3 linked regions of the Macaca mulatta genome follow. The protein of the gene in region 2 purifies or fractionates together with the protein of the main gene of each other region. This does not show direct contact. Links are inferred from orthologs where the notes say so. Each region holds a gene or a part of one and is shown on either strand. Other genes may lie near its edges.

The links.
Region 1: the proteins of SRPK1 (region 2) and HNRNPC fractionate together in Homo sapiens (co-fractionation; 3 studies listed by BioGRID and IntAct, with this or other methods). This does not show direct contact. The link is inferred for Macaca mulatta from reciprocal best matches to the Homo sapiens genes SRPK1 and HNRNPC.
Region 3: the proteins of SRPK1 (region 2) and DROSHA purify together in Homo sapiens (affinity purification with mass spectrometry; 3 studies listed by BioGRID and IntAct, counting the BioPlex papers as one, with this or other methods). This does not show direct contact. The link is inferred for Macaca mulatta from reciprocal best matches to the Homo sapiens genes SRPK1 and DROSHA.

The regions. Positions count from the first base shown.
Region 1 is NC_133412.1:94,116,913-94,120,663, forward strand, and holds the start of HNRNPC (heterogeneous nuclear ribonucleoproteins C1/C2), read right to left. Parts: upstream 2,625-3,751; 5' UTR 2,453-2,624; intron 1,824-2,452; exon of another isoform or gene 1,778-1,823; intron 1-1,777. UniProt on the Homo sapiens protein: Binds pre-mRNA and nucleates the assembly of 40S hnRNP particles. Interacts with poly-U tracts in the 3'-UTR or 5'-UTR of mRNA and modulates the stability and the level of translation of bound mRNA molecules. Single HNRNPC tetramers bind 230-240 nucleotides.
Region 2 is NC_133409.1:146,368,345-146,371,995, reverse strand, and holds part of SRPK1 (SRSF protein kinase 1), read right to left. Parts: intron 3,092-3,651; coding exon 3,004-3,091; intron 1,821-3,003; coding exon 1,733-1,820; intron 1-1,732. UniProt on the Homo sapiens protein: Serine/arginine-rich protein-specific kinase which specifically phosphorylates its substrates at serine residues located in regions rich in arginine/serine dipeptides, known as RS domains and is involved in the phosphorylation of SR splicing factors and the regulation of splicing.
Region 3 is NC_133411.1:32,870,442-32,874,092, forward strand, and holds part of DROSHA (ribonuclease 3), read right to left. Parts: intron 3,509-3,651; coding exon 3,277-3,508; intron 1-3,276. UniProt on the Homo sapiens protein: Ribonuclease III double-stranded (ds) RNA-specific endoribonuclease that is involved in the initial step of microRNA (miRNA) biogenesis.

The sequences.
Region 1 (3,751 bases), on a different chromosome or scaffold from region 2:
GGCTCACACCTGCGTAATACCAGCATTTTGGGAGGCGGAGGCACGAGGATTGCCTGATCTCAGAAGTGAGACCAGCCTGACCAACACGGTGAAACCCCGTCTCTACTAAAAATATAAAAATCAGCCCGGCGTGGTGGCGCACGCCTGTAATCCCAGCTACTTGGGAAGCTGAGGCAGGAGAATCGCTCAAACCCGGGAGGCAGAGGCTGCAGTGAACCGAGATTGTGCCACTGCACTCCAGCCTGGGGCAACAGTGAGACTCCGTCTCAAAAAAAAAAAAAAAAAAAAAACTGCTTTAAAAAGACTGCATCTGTACAGTTTTTAGTCTTCTGGCAACGAAAAATTTGAATTAGAAACTAAAAATTCAAATAAGTTAAAAAAAAAAAAGTCTAAGTCCTCTTATTTAAGCAAGGAGGATTAAAATCTATTTCTCCTCCTAGGCAAACTTACTCCCTATTCAACACCTCACATTCAACACTTAATATTAAGTTTTAATAATTTGCCCCTTAGTCTTTAAAATTAGAGCAACTAGCTATTTGAGTTTATTCTTTGTGTCGCACTGCCATTCCATCCAAAACAAGGTCGAATGCCATGTCAAATCCTCTAAGAGATTTAATTACAAACGTAAGCTGTTTAAATTCTCCACAGAAGGAACATCAACTACCAAGTATTCCCAAGAGTGGCACACGAATGGGGGGAAAAAAAGGTCAGAAAACCTGCAACCTGGCCATCCTTCAACTTTTCCCCCTAGCCAATACGCTAGCCAATACGAAAATGTTACTAAATGCCTATCCAGTTGAGAACACACCTGGAATTGTGATATAAATGCCGTGGCAAACAGTTCTTGATATTAAAGAATTTTTGGTACGCTGATATACATACTGATCTGATATACATACTGATCGGAAGGAACCCGTATTTCTAACACCTCAAAGGCAAAGAAAAGTGCCTGTCAATCAATTTCAGCTATTATCAACTGTTCTTAAATACTAACTTCTGACATTTCTCATTGCCAACATTTTTACTACATGATTTCCCCATTAATCTATTTTTGCCTTTACCTCATTTCTAACAGTTTAGCACGATGATAAACTTTAGTTTTAAGTTCCTGTAATAATATATTTAAACTTAAAGGGGTCGCGATGTTTTTGACCCTTATTTTACTTCCTATCAAATAGGTTGCCTTACAGATAAATTTCTTACCCGGCAGAATTGGTTTAAACTGTGCTTAACAGCTTTAGTTTTTGTGAAATTAACAGATTGTAAAAAATAACCAAATCTCATGTGAGGATTTAAAAAACCGATTTCCCAGATAAGTGAACGTGACACTAAAGATCTGTAACTTTAACTTACAAGTTTTTTATCAAATTTCAGCACCGAGCAAATAACAGCACTGTTAATATTTGCTTAATAAAATGTAGCTGTGAATTTTTGCCCAAGTTTAGGTGGACGGGAAAATTAACATCAGAATAACCCGAAAGTCAAATTTTGTCATCTTACACTTAGGAAGTTACGTTAACAACAAATTCTCAAGTCTCGTAGTATTTTTCTTAAGCGCAATTTGGGAATTTCCAGTTACCTCGTGGTTTCCGTCATCAGGTTCTTGCAAAGATTCAAATATTGTACTTTTAGAACCCGGTATTCCATTAACCAGGTAAAAACCACTCGACTGACCTCGTGGTCAAATTCCTTAGTAGTTCTGCTACTGACTTAATTATGACCCTAGCAATCAACACTTTGCCTCAGTTTCTGTCTGAGAAAGAGAGTTAATACCTACCTCAAGCAAAGTTCCACTAACTTATATATTTCAAGTGTTTTGTAACCTGCAGATGAAAAGTCAGCTGTAATTATTAATATAGTTATACACAATATTTCCTTTTACAAACGTAAGTGAAAATAACTACTTCGAGCTCCATTATTTGCTCATAGAGAGGAATAAAATAAAAAGTTATCAGTAAAATGCTAAATCTTTTGTTAAACCTTTCTCATAGGCCACGCGGCACGATCCAGGATTTAAAGGCTCGCGATACATCTACTTGGTAACCTTCCCCCTCCCCCTCCCCCAATTTTTACATGTAAGAAGAACCGAGGTAATAGAAGGCATCGGCGCTATGTTAACTTCGACTATATTAATGAACATCGCGATCTTCATTTTCAGGATCCCGGAGTCCTCGCGGTCGTAGAAAATGAAAGGAAAGCAGCCGTTAACACAGGAAGAGCGAAAAAAGGGCATTTTCCCTGGCGATCGTGGCCCAGAGGACACCAGGTTAAACCTACGCAGAGGCTGAGGCCTGTAAAACCGCCTCCCGCTTCAGACCTAATCCCCCAAAACAAACAGAATAAATGAGGGCCCGGTTAGTTAGGGGGAAGGGTTCCCTCATATTCTCTCCCACACCCCCTCTAGCTTCCCAAAAAACCCAGCGCCTTCCCTGCGTCCGCCCTCTCCACTTACCAGGAGGGGGGAGGGAGAAGAGATTCGATTCTGAGTCTCCTACTCCCGGATTCGGCGTGAAGAAACCGACTGCAGGTCGAGGTCGGCAGCGCGGCCACAACCGCTCAGTCTTCGTCTCTTCACAAAATGGCCCCCGAGTCTCCTCTGCCGCCGAGGCGAAGGCCTAGTCCCCGCCCCATCCCTAAGAATCTTCCTATTGGCTGTGTGTTTTTTCGCTCCCGCTCCTAATTAGACAGTTCAACCGCTTCTCACAATGATATCCAGTCACAATTGGCAGTGGGTTAGACTAAGCAGAAGAATTTCCACATGCGTGAGAGAAACTAGTTTGTAACTGGTTAATTTTCCTGTCATTTATCGTCTGGGGAATGTTTATTGGCTATTGCACCGGACGACCCTCTGGGTGGAAACTCGCCTTTGTATCGCGCACCGTCTCACATCCGGGTATCTGGAAGGCCTGATTGGCGGCCGCGGTGTCCTATCGCTGCTCCTTAGAGTGCCTAGTAAAAGGTTCGCTCAGACCTCGGATTTCCGGCGGCGCGGGGGCGGGGAAGGGCTTGAGGGGCGTTGTTAGGTGACGGGCGCAAAGGACTTGCCCTAGCCCCGGGCCTAGGAGAAAAAAAGCGCGAAATGAAGCCTCCGGCGTGCAATATGAATAAAGAAAGAACTTTACTTAAAATGAGGAGGGAGCAGCGGTGACTAGGCCGTGTTAAAGTGTGTAGAAAACTAACCAGCCCTGCCGTTTTTCCAACCCGAGAGCCTTTCTCAGGTCCAGATTCGAATGTCAGCTACCTCGTAGACATCTCTGCTTCTCAGCCTATTAAACCCTTCTTCAGACAACACATATTCCATCCAAACCAACTGACTTCCTTATTCCTCTCCAATATGAAAAGTAAATGAAGTGCAAAATCCCGGCCTCTGGCCCAAGTCATCTCACTAATATCTTAAGTGCCAGTAAAATTGGCCCATCCCTCCGAATCTGCTCCCTTAATTTCCCTCCTCTTAAAATGGCTTGTCTCCTACGTACCCCCGTCACCTGCCAGTCCTTCTGGTTACATTATAGGAACTGCGCACACAGTGGATTAGCATCAGCTCTACTAAGGGAGCCATTTCTTTTTTTTTTTTTTTTCTTTTTTCTTTTCTTTTCTTTTTTTTTTTTGAGGCAGAGTCACTGTCGCCCAGGCTGGAGTGCAACTGCCTCCAGTTGAGGTTGATTGGCGGCCGCGGTGTCCTATCGCTGCTCCTTTTTTTTTTTTTTTTTTTTTTTTTTTTTGAGACGGAGTCTCGCTCTGTCACCCAGGC
Region 2 (3,651 bases):
TAGGGAACAAGAATGAAACTCCATCTAAAAAAAAAAAGAAAAAGAAAAGAAAAATATCTTGGAACTTGAAATTCAAACATACTAAGATATTTCAATAGTTAAAAAGCCTTCTTTGCTTAGTTAGGGTCAAATAAAGGTACTCAGCATTACCGGGGAGATTTGAGAGTATTTCTATAGTTTTACTTGGAACTTTCGCAAATTAGTAAAGAAATCTGGCACAATGAAAAACATTACAAGATTAAATAATAGAAAAAACAGATACGGCCATCATGACACCCTGTGTGTGTTTTTTAAAAATTTCTTGGTTAGAATTATTAATTCTTTGAAAACAGAGAGAGAGAGAGAGAGAAAGCCATCTACAAAATGACCACAATAAGCACAAGATACTGTTTTAAGATGGTTGCAGCAGTTTTCCTTAGACATCTGGGGGATCTGTGATTTGTATTTTTCTAAGAAATGACTCAGAATTGACTTTAGAACAATAGTCTTTCCACATTATCAACTGTTTTCTCTCCTTTCCAACTTCCTTCCTGCTTCTCTGTTCAAATCTCTTCCCATAGTCTACATGAAACTACAGTCACATGTAATCCTGTCTCCTTTAAATAAAAAAAGATCAACAGCAATTAGGAATGTGCATTAAAGGAAGCTAAACATGCATGAAAAGTAAAATAATATATGAAATGTCTTTATACATTTTAAGACTAGCTTATAAACAGGTATTTTAGATTCTCCAATCTAAGTAAGATTCGACTTCAACTTTTACTGAAAAATCTGATTGACCTTTATAAGCATAGCTGTTTCAACAACTTTTCAATTAGCCCACCGCACATCACTTTGATACCTGTGAAGAAAATCAGCTACAGTTCCTTCCAATTCTACAATTCTAAAAATCCAGATAAAAACATAAAACAAGTCAGTTTTTCATTATAACAGAACACGAATAATTACACCCTTTTAGACTCTAAACATAATCTACATTCACAGCCTCTTCAAAGTTGAGGCTTAGTATAATAAATACAATCATACTTTAAATTGTTTACCCAGTTTCTTCCTTTCTTTCTCTTTCTCTTTCTTTCTTTTAGACAGTATCTTTTTTTTTTTTTTTTTTTTTAAGACAGAGTCCGGCTCTGTCGCCCAGGCTGGAGTGCAGTGGACTCAATCTCGGCTCACTGCAACCTCTGCCTCCCGGGTTCAAGTGATTCTCCAGCCTCAGCCTGCCCAGTAGCTGGGATTACAGGAGCCTGTCACCACGCCCAGCTAATTCTTGTATTTTAGTAGAAACAGGGTTTCACCATGTTTGCCAGGTGGGTCTCGAATTCCTGACCTCAGGTTATCCACCTGCCTCGGTCTCCCAAAGTGCTGGGATTACAGGTGTGAGCCACCATGCCCAGCCAACACACTATTTTTCATAATAAATTACTTCCCTTAAGGTTTCTGTGCTAACAAAAATCATAGATTCTTTACTTGGTGATACAAGGCATTTTCTAAAAGTTTCTTTGATTTCGGTCTAATTGCCTGAAAAGGGGACAAAAAACTTAAAGCAATATCCTGAAAAATCACACCACACAAAATCAGACAAAATTCAGAGCTGTGTTCAGAAGTGTACAATAAAAGAGGTAATTTTATTATAGTTTGCCTTGAGAAAAGACACCAAGGCCATCTACACAACAAATCTAGTTCCTTTCTTTGGGATTGGGATGATTTATTCTCAAATAGGTTTTTAAAAGGATACGTGTTCCATTAACTCCTGATATTTTAAAGTCATCTAGTAGTTGAACAACCATCTCTCTGTTTGGATCATTAGGGTCTGAATTGCGAACCTGTAGTGGGGAAAAGAGAGTAAAGCATGGAAATAAGCCAAATGGTATGGGAAGAATACTTACAGCAAATTAACTACAAGAAAGAGCTCACATAAATCTATCTTTAAAATATACTAAAATTTCAATAGCTTTAATGGAGAAAAATCTTAGTCAATTCATAAGAGGAAATACAACCAACAGGAACTATTTTTCTAATTTTGCTAAACTATTTTGCTCCCTGATATCAAAGTGTGGCCTCCAAATTAACTGCAGATTACCAGGCTATGAGGAACTAAGCAGCTTTTGCAGGATGCGAATCAACTATAGCACCAACAGCACTGTTTATTTCAGCCAACATTTTTTTTTTCATGGAAAAACTTTCTCAATGAAGAAAACAGTATTTACTTTTGGGTAGGTACAAGGCTCCTAAACTTGTCACAAACGGACATTCTGAAAAGTACTGTCTTAAGCCAGGTGCAGTGGCTTGTGCCTGTAACCCCAGTTACTCTGGAGGCTAATAAGGCAGATCACTTGAGGCCAGGAGTCGAAAATAAGAAAAGTACTGCCATAGAAATCTCCTGGTGCAACATTCTCACTTTATGAATAAAAAATCTAAAACTCAGAAAGAAAAACACGGTAACATGGAGAACATATCGGGGTAAAGGTGACCTAAACCCAGGTTTTCTAATTCTGAGTTTAAGTTCCTTCTACCACAATGGCATATTCCTAATTTAAAACAAAATTAAAAGTACATTTTTTATAGAATTTATCTCAGTTTCCAGGTATAAATGGAATCAGTAAATACAGTATTTTTATATTATGTATTCTATAACATATTTGAAAACAACAAAAAAGATGCTATACATTTATTTACACAACTTTCCTTTTAACCATAGTAGGAAAGAAAAACATTATGACAGTAGTTACCTGGCCTGTAAAACATGCTCAGTGAATATTTTTATTCATTTGAAAGGTTTTTTTTGGTTCATGTGTGTAAGAATTCTAATCATAGCATTTCCCACCAGTTCCCTACTACATGCATGGAATGTGTAAATATTGTTGTCTTCCTTAACCTCTTTAAGGATACTAGAACTTTATAGAGAAAATTATCCATGCTGAGGAGTCTCCACTTGGTGTGCTTTAATTCAATGAAACTTGATATATTTATAATTCTTTGCATTCATACATATAATCTAATACTCACTGACTTCAGCAACCGGATTTCATCGAGTGCTGTTTCGGTGTAATGTTCAGCACTTTTAACTACTTTCATTGCCACAAATTTCTTCCCCCTAAGAAACAAACACAGGCAATTAAGACTACATAGCCTACCCTTACTTTAGGAAGCTAAGGTTTAGCTATAAGATGGTTAAAAAGGACAAATACTGATTTCATGTTTCCCTGTAGCCCAAACAAGCTACTTCTATGGGAACATTTGTACTTGTTAATGATGCTAACTGGCCAGATTTCATTTGTAGGAAGAATAAAAGATCTGTTCTCAGATAATCTCAGTTGTTGAACATTTTCTCTGAGTTAAAATCCTTCTTTTGAATATCTCCCTGAATTTCAAGCAAAACTTCAAAATGAGGATAAATAAGGGGAAAGATATTACCAAATTCCAAGTGTTCTGTGTATCTGTATATAGGCAAAAACTAAAAGGTTAATAGCTGTAATATTTTCCCACAGGCAGCCAGAAGAAATATTTGGGTGAAAAGAAAACGATAAAAATAACAAAAAAATCAAACGACAAAAGCTTTACCAGCATTAATTTAATCACTCTTGTCTCTAAAGTAGAAAGGGAGATATATAATACCGATTCTTCACGAAAGAAAAGTGATTTCTCCAAGAATAT
Region 3 (3,651 bases), on a different chromosome or scaffold from region 2:
CCACTATACTCTAGCCTGGGTGACACAATGAGACCTCATCTCAAAAAAAAAAAAAAGAAAAGAAACATTATAACAGTTCATCTACGCCCTCTTAACATGACATTTTTTTTAAAAATCATGACCTCAGAGAATCGTAACAACTGACACCAAATACCCTCCTAGGGAATGTACACTTCCTACTGAAAAATCACTGATAATCTGTCTTCTCCTATACTAATCCAACAAGGAACAAGGAATATCATATATATCCTCTTTGTCTCTCTCTCTCTCTCACACACACACACACTCATGCCTTAAACATAAGGATATAAACATGCACACATTCTCTTTCACACACACACACAAACACATAGAACAAACATGGGACTCTACGAAGCATTCCTAGAGGAAATTTTCCACTTTTCCTCACTCATTTTCCAGGCTGAAAATCATTTTACATGTCCACACTCTGACTTAGTAGCCTTAAAATGTAAAAACCAGACCTGCCAAATGTAAAATTAAGGCAAATCATAAAATCTGGTACCCAGAAGAAGGGATAATTCAGGCCGCATCTCATTGTTGAGAGTGGCAATGCCGGTATAGCTTTGACATCCCTCACCACCTTCTCTGCACCACAGACGACAAAACTCAAAGGCAAATGTCAGCCTTTTGAGTTTATCAGTCTTCCTCCTACACTGGAGTTTTAATATACTCGTATAAATATGTAATAAAAAAACAACCAGCTCTGCCTGTTTAAACTCCCTGAACTTCAGTGTCTTCATCTTTATTGTTTTAAGAATAATAACACCTATGGCAGCCATTCTTTCCTTCTTCCTAATAGAAGCAGTATTCTATCAGATTTGGGGCAGAGAACTCCTGATCTCTGGGAAGGTAGACTGAGCCACCCACCCCTCCCAAAGATGCCCATGTCCTAATCCCCAGAAATTAAATATATATGTTAACTTACATGGCAAAACGGACTTGCAGCTGGGTGGACCCAATCTTAGCACAGGAGCCCTTAAAAGCAGGGAACCTTTGCCAACAGGGGTCAGAGATGTAACAGAAAAAGAGGCAAGAGATATTTAAACCATGAGAAGGACTCAACCACCATTACTGGCTTTGAAGACAGAGGAAGGGATCCACAAGTCAAGGAATGCACATGGCCTGGAGGAACGAAGAAGTGCCCTGACCTTACAGCCAGCAAGGATACAAGGTCCTCTGTCCTCCAGACACAAGGAACTGAACTCTGCCAGCAACCTGAATGAGCAAGAAAACAGATTTTCTCCAGAGCCTCCATAAAGGAACACAGACCTGCTGACATCCTGATGGAGCCAGTGAGACCCAAGCTGGACTTCTGGCCTCCCGAGCTGTGAGAGGACAAATGTGTGTGGTTTCAAGCCATGCTGTTTGTGGAATTCTGTCATGGCAGTAAGGAAAAACAAATCCCTGGGGTAGGCATGTCACATGGCTCTGGTAAAGGGATGGAAGGGGAGTCAAGGGATGAAAGGAGAGCTTGGGCAAGACACTGGAAGAATGCTCACCCAACATGCCCTCTGCATCCTGCATGTGGGGACACAGGTGTATAAGGACCTGAGGCCTGCTGGTCCTGCATCATCCTGCAACTGTGGAAGATGCTCAGGAAGACAGCAGGGCCTGCCATCACTAAGCCACTCAGTGAACACCAGCCATGGCCTCCCTCCAGGTACCTTATCATGAGAAGAACAAATCCAGCTTGTTTAAGTCCCACTTAGTCAGGTGTTATTACTCCCAGCAGCATTTCTAACTGACAGAAAGACCCTCTTGCCAGGGGTATTTTCAGGGTTAACTAAGACAACATGAGAAGCATGGACTAACGTTCTGGCACCGTGAAAGCGCACAGTATGTGAGCTTTCCCTTCCCTGTACCACATCAACTATGACTTAAAAGCCTGCTCTAATTTATCAAATAAAATATCACACCACTATGAGAGACTTCTCAAATCCTTTGTTTCCAAAAACACAGAAATCTCAAGTTCCCCACAGATCGAGTCCAAACAGAAGCTATTTTCACAAAATTCCAAACAAAACCCTCTCTTATCTCTTACCTAATCCCATGCACTAAATCTAACATCTGCAACTTCTCATGCCCTAAATCTGTACATGAGTTCATTGATTAAATGAAAGAGATGTCCACTCATTCATTTAATCAATGAACATTACTGCATGCCTACTCTGTGGCAAATATGCCTAACAGGATGGAGGCATAATGCCTAAGGGGAAGAGAGGAAGAGGGGAAGAGAGAGCAAAAAGGAGACAGGGACAGAAAATAAAATGGAGATGGAAGAAAGAAAAGAGAAGTGAGCATGTAGAGATAGTGGTGGAGTCTGCGATGGCAATGTATCACCACAGGCACCCCAGCCCTGGCAGCATATGCTCTAGGAGTCCTCCCTCCAGCCCATTAAGGGTGACAATGGCTCTCCCTTTCTGCAAAACTAGCTGATATGCATGGGCAACTTCATAGGGTTGGTGCTCTTTTGGTCAAGGATACACTTCGAAGAGACAAACTCAAATTCTTCCTTATTTCTCATTTTGGAGGAAAAAAACACATACATATACACATACACACCACAAACTGCATAAACTAGTTACACATGAAACCTTATGAAACCACCAGTATCAAGACTACCAGTATCATTAAAAATGTAGAATAGGCTGGGCACAGTGACTCACACCTGTAATCCCAGCACTTTGGGAGGCCAAGGCCAGAGGATTGCTTGAGCTCAGGAGTTCGAGACCAGAGTGGGCAACAGTATGACCTCATCTCTACTAAAAAATAAATAAATAAATAAATAAGCCAGTCACGGTGGCTCGTGTCCCAGTAGTTCCAGCTACTCAGAGGGCTGAAGTGGGAGAATCACTTGAGCCTGGAAGATCAAGGCTGCAGTGAACCACGATCGTGCCACTGCACTCCAGCCTGGGTGGCAGAGCGAGACCGTCTCAAATAAAAAAAAAATCATTGTAAAAAGATACTTTAATTAACCTACTGCACTCTTGGCCTTTCGCTTTTTAAAACAGCTTTTGTCTGTAATAGTGATTCTCAACTGGGGGTGATCTTTCCCCCCAAGGGACATTTAGCAATATTTGAAGACAACTGGGGAGGGGTACTACTGGCATCTAATAGGCAGAGCCCAGAGATGCTGCTAAACATCCTGCAATACATAGGGCAGTCCCCACAATCAAGAATTATCCAGCCCCAAATGCCAATAGTGACAACACACAGAAACCCTGGTCTACAGCTTGTCTGCTACTTCGGACCTACCACCTGATCCATGGGGTCACTAGAGTAGTAGTTTTCTGAATGAGTGCATCGAATCCACACAGGCTTAAGAAGTTCTTCTTCCTCCTCCTCATTCTTGTCAGGCGTGGTCTCCTCAGGCTCTTTTTCCTTGATTGAGGTATAGTTCTTGTCTTTGCCAGAGCTCTGGTTGTCACTCCATCGGTCTTTTTCTTCCTCCCAACGAGCTCTCTTCTTCTCCCTACTTGGGGAGCGACTTCAAAAGAGGGCAAAGGAGATTAATTATTAAAAATACTCTGCCATTATAAAAACTATTCTATTTCACCTACTTGGTGCATTTTTCACCTAAAATACGAATACCATGCCAAATCACCATGTGTACTTTTGTTAAACCAGTGA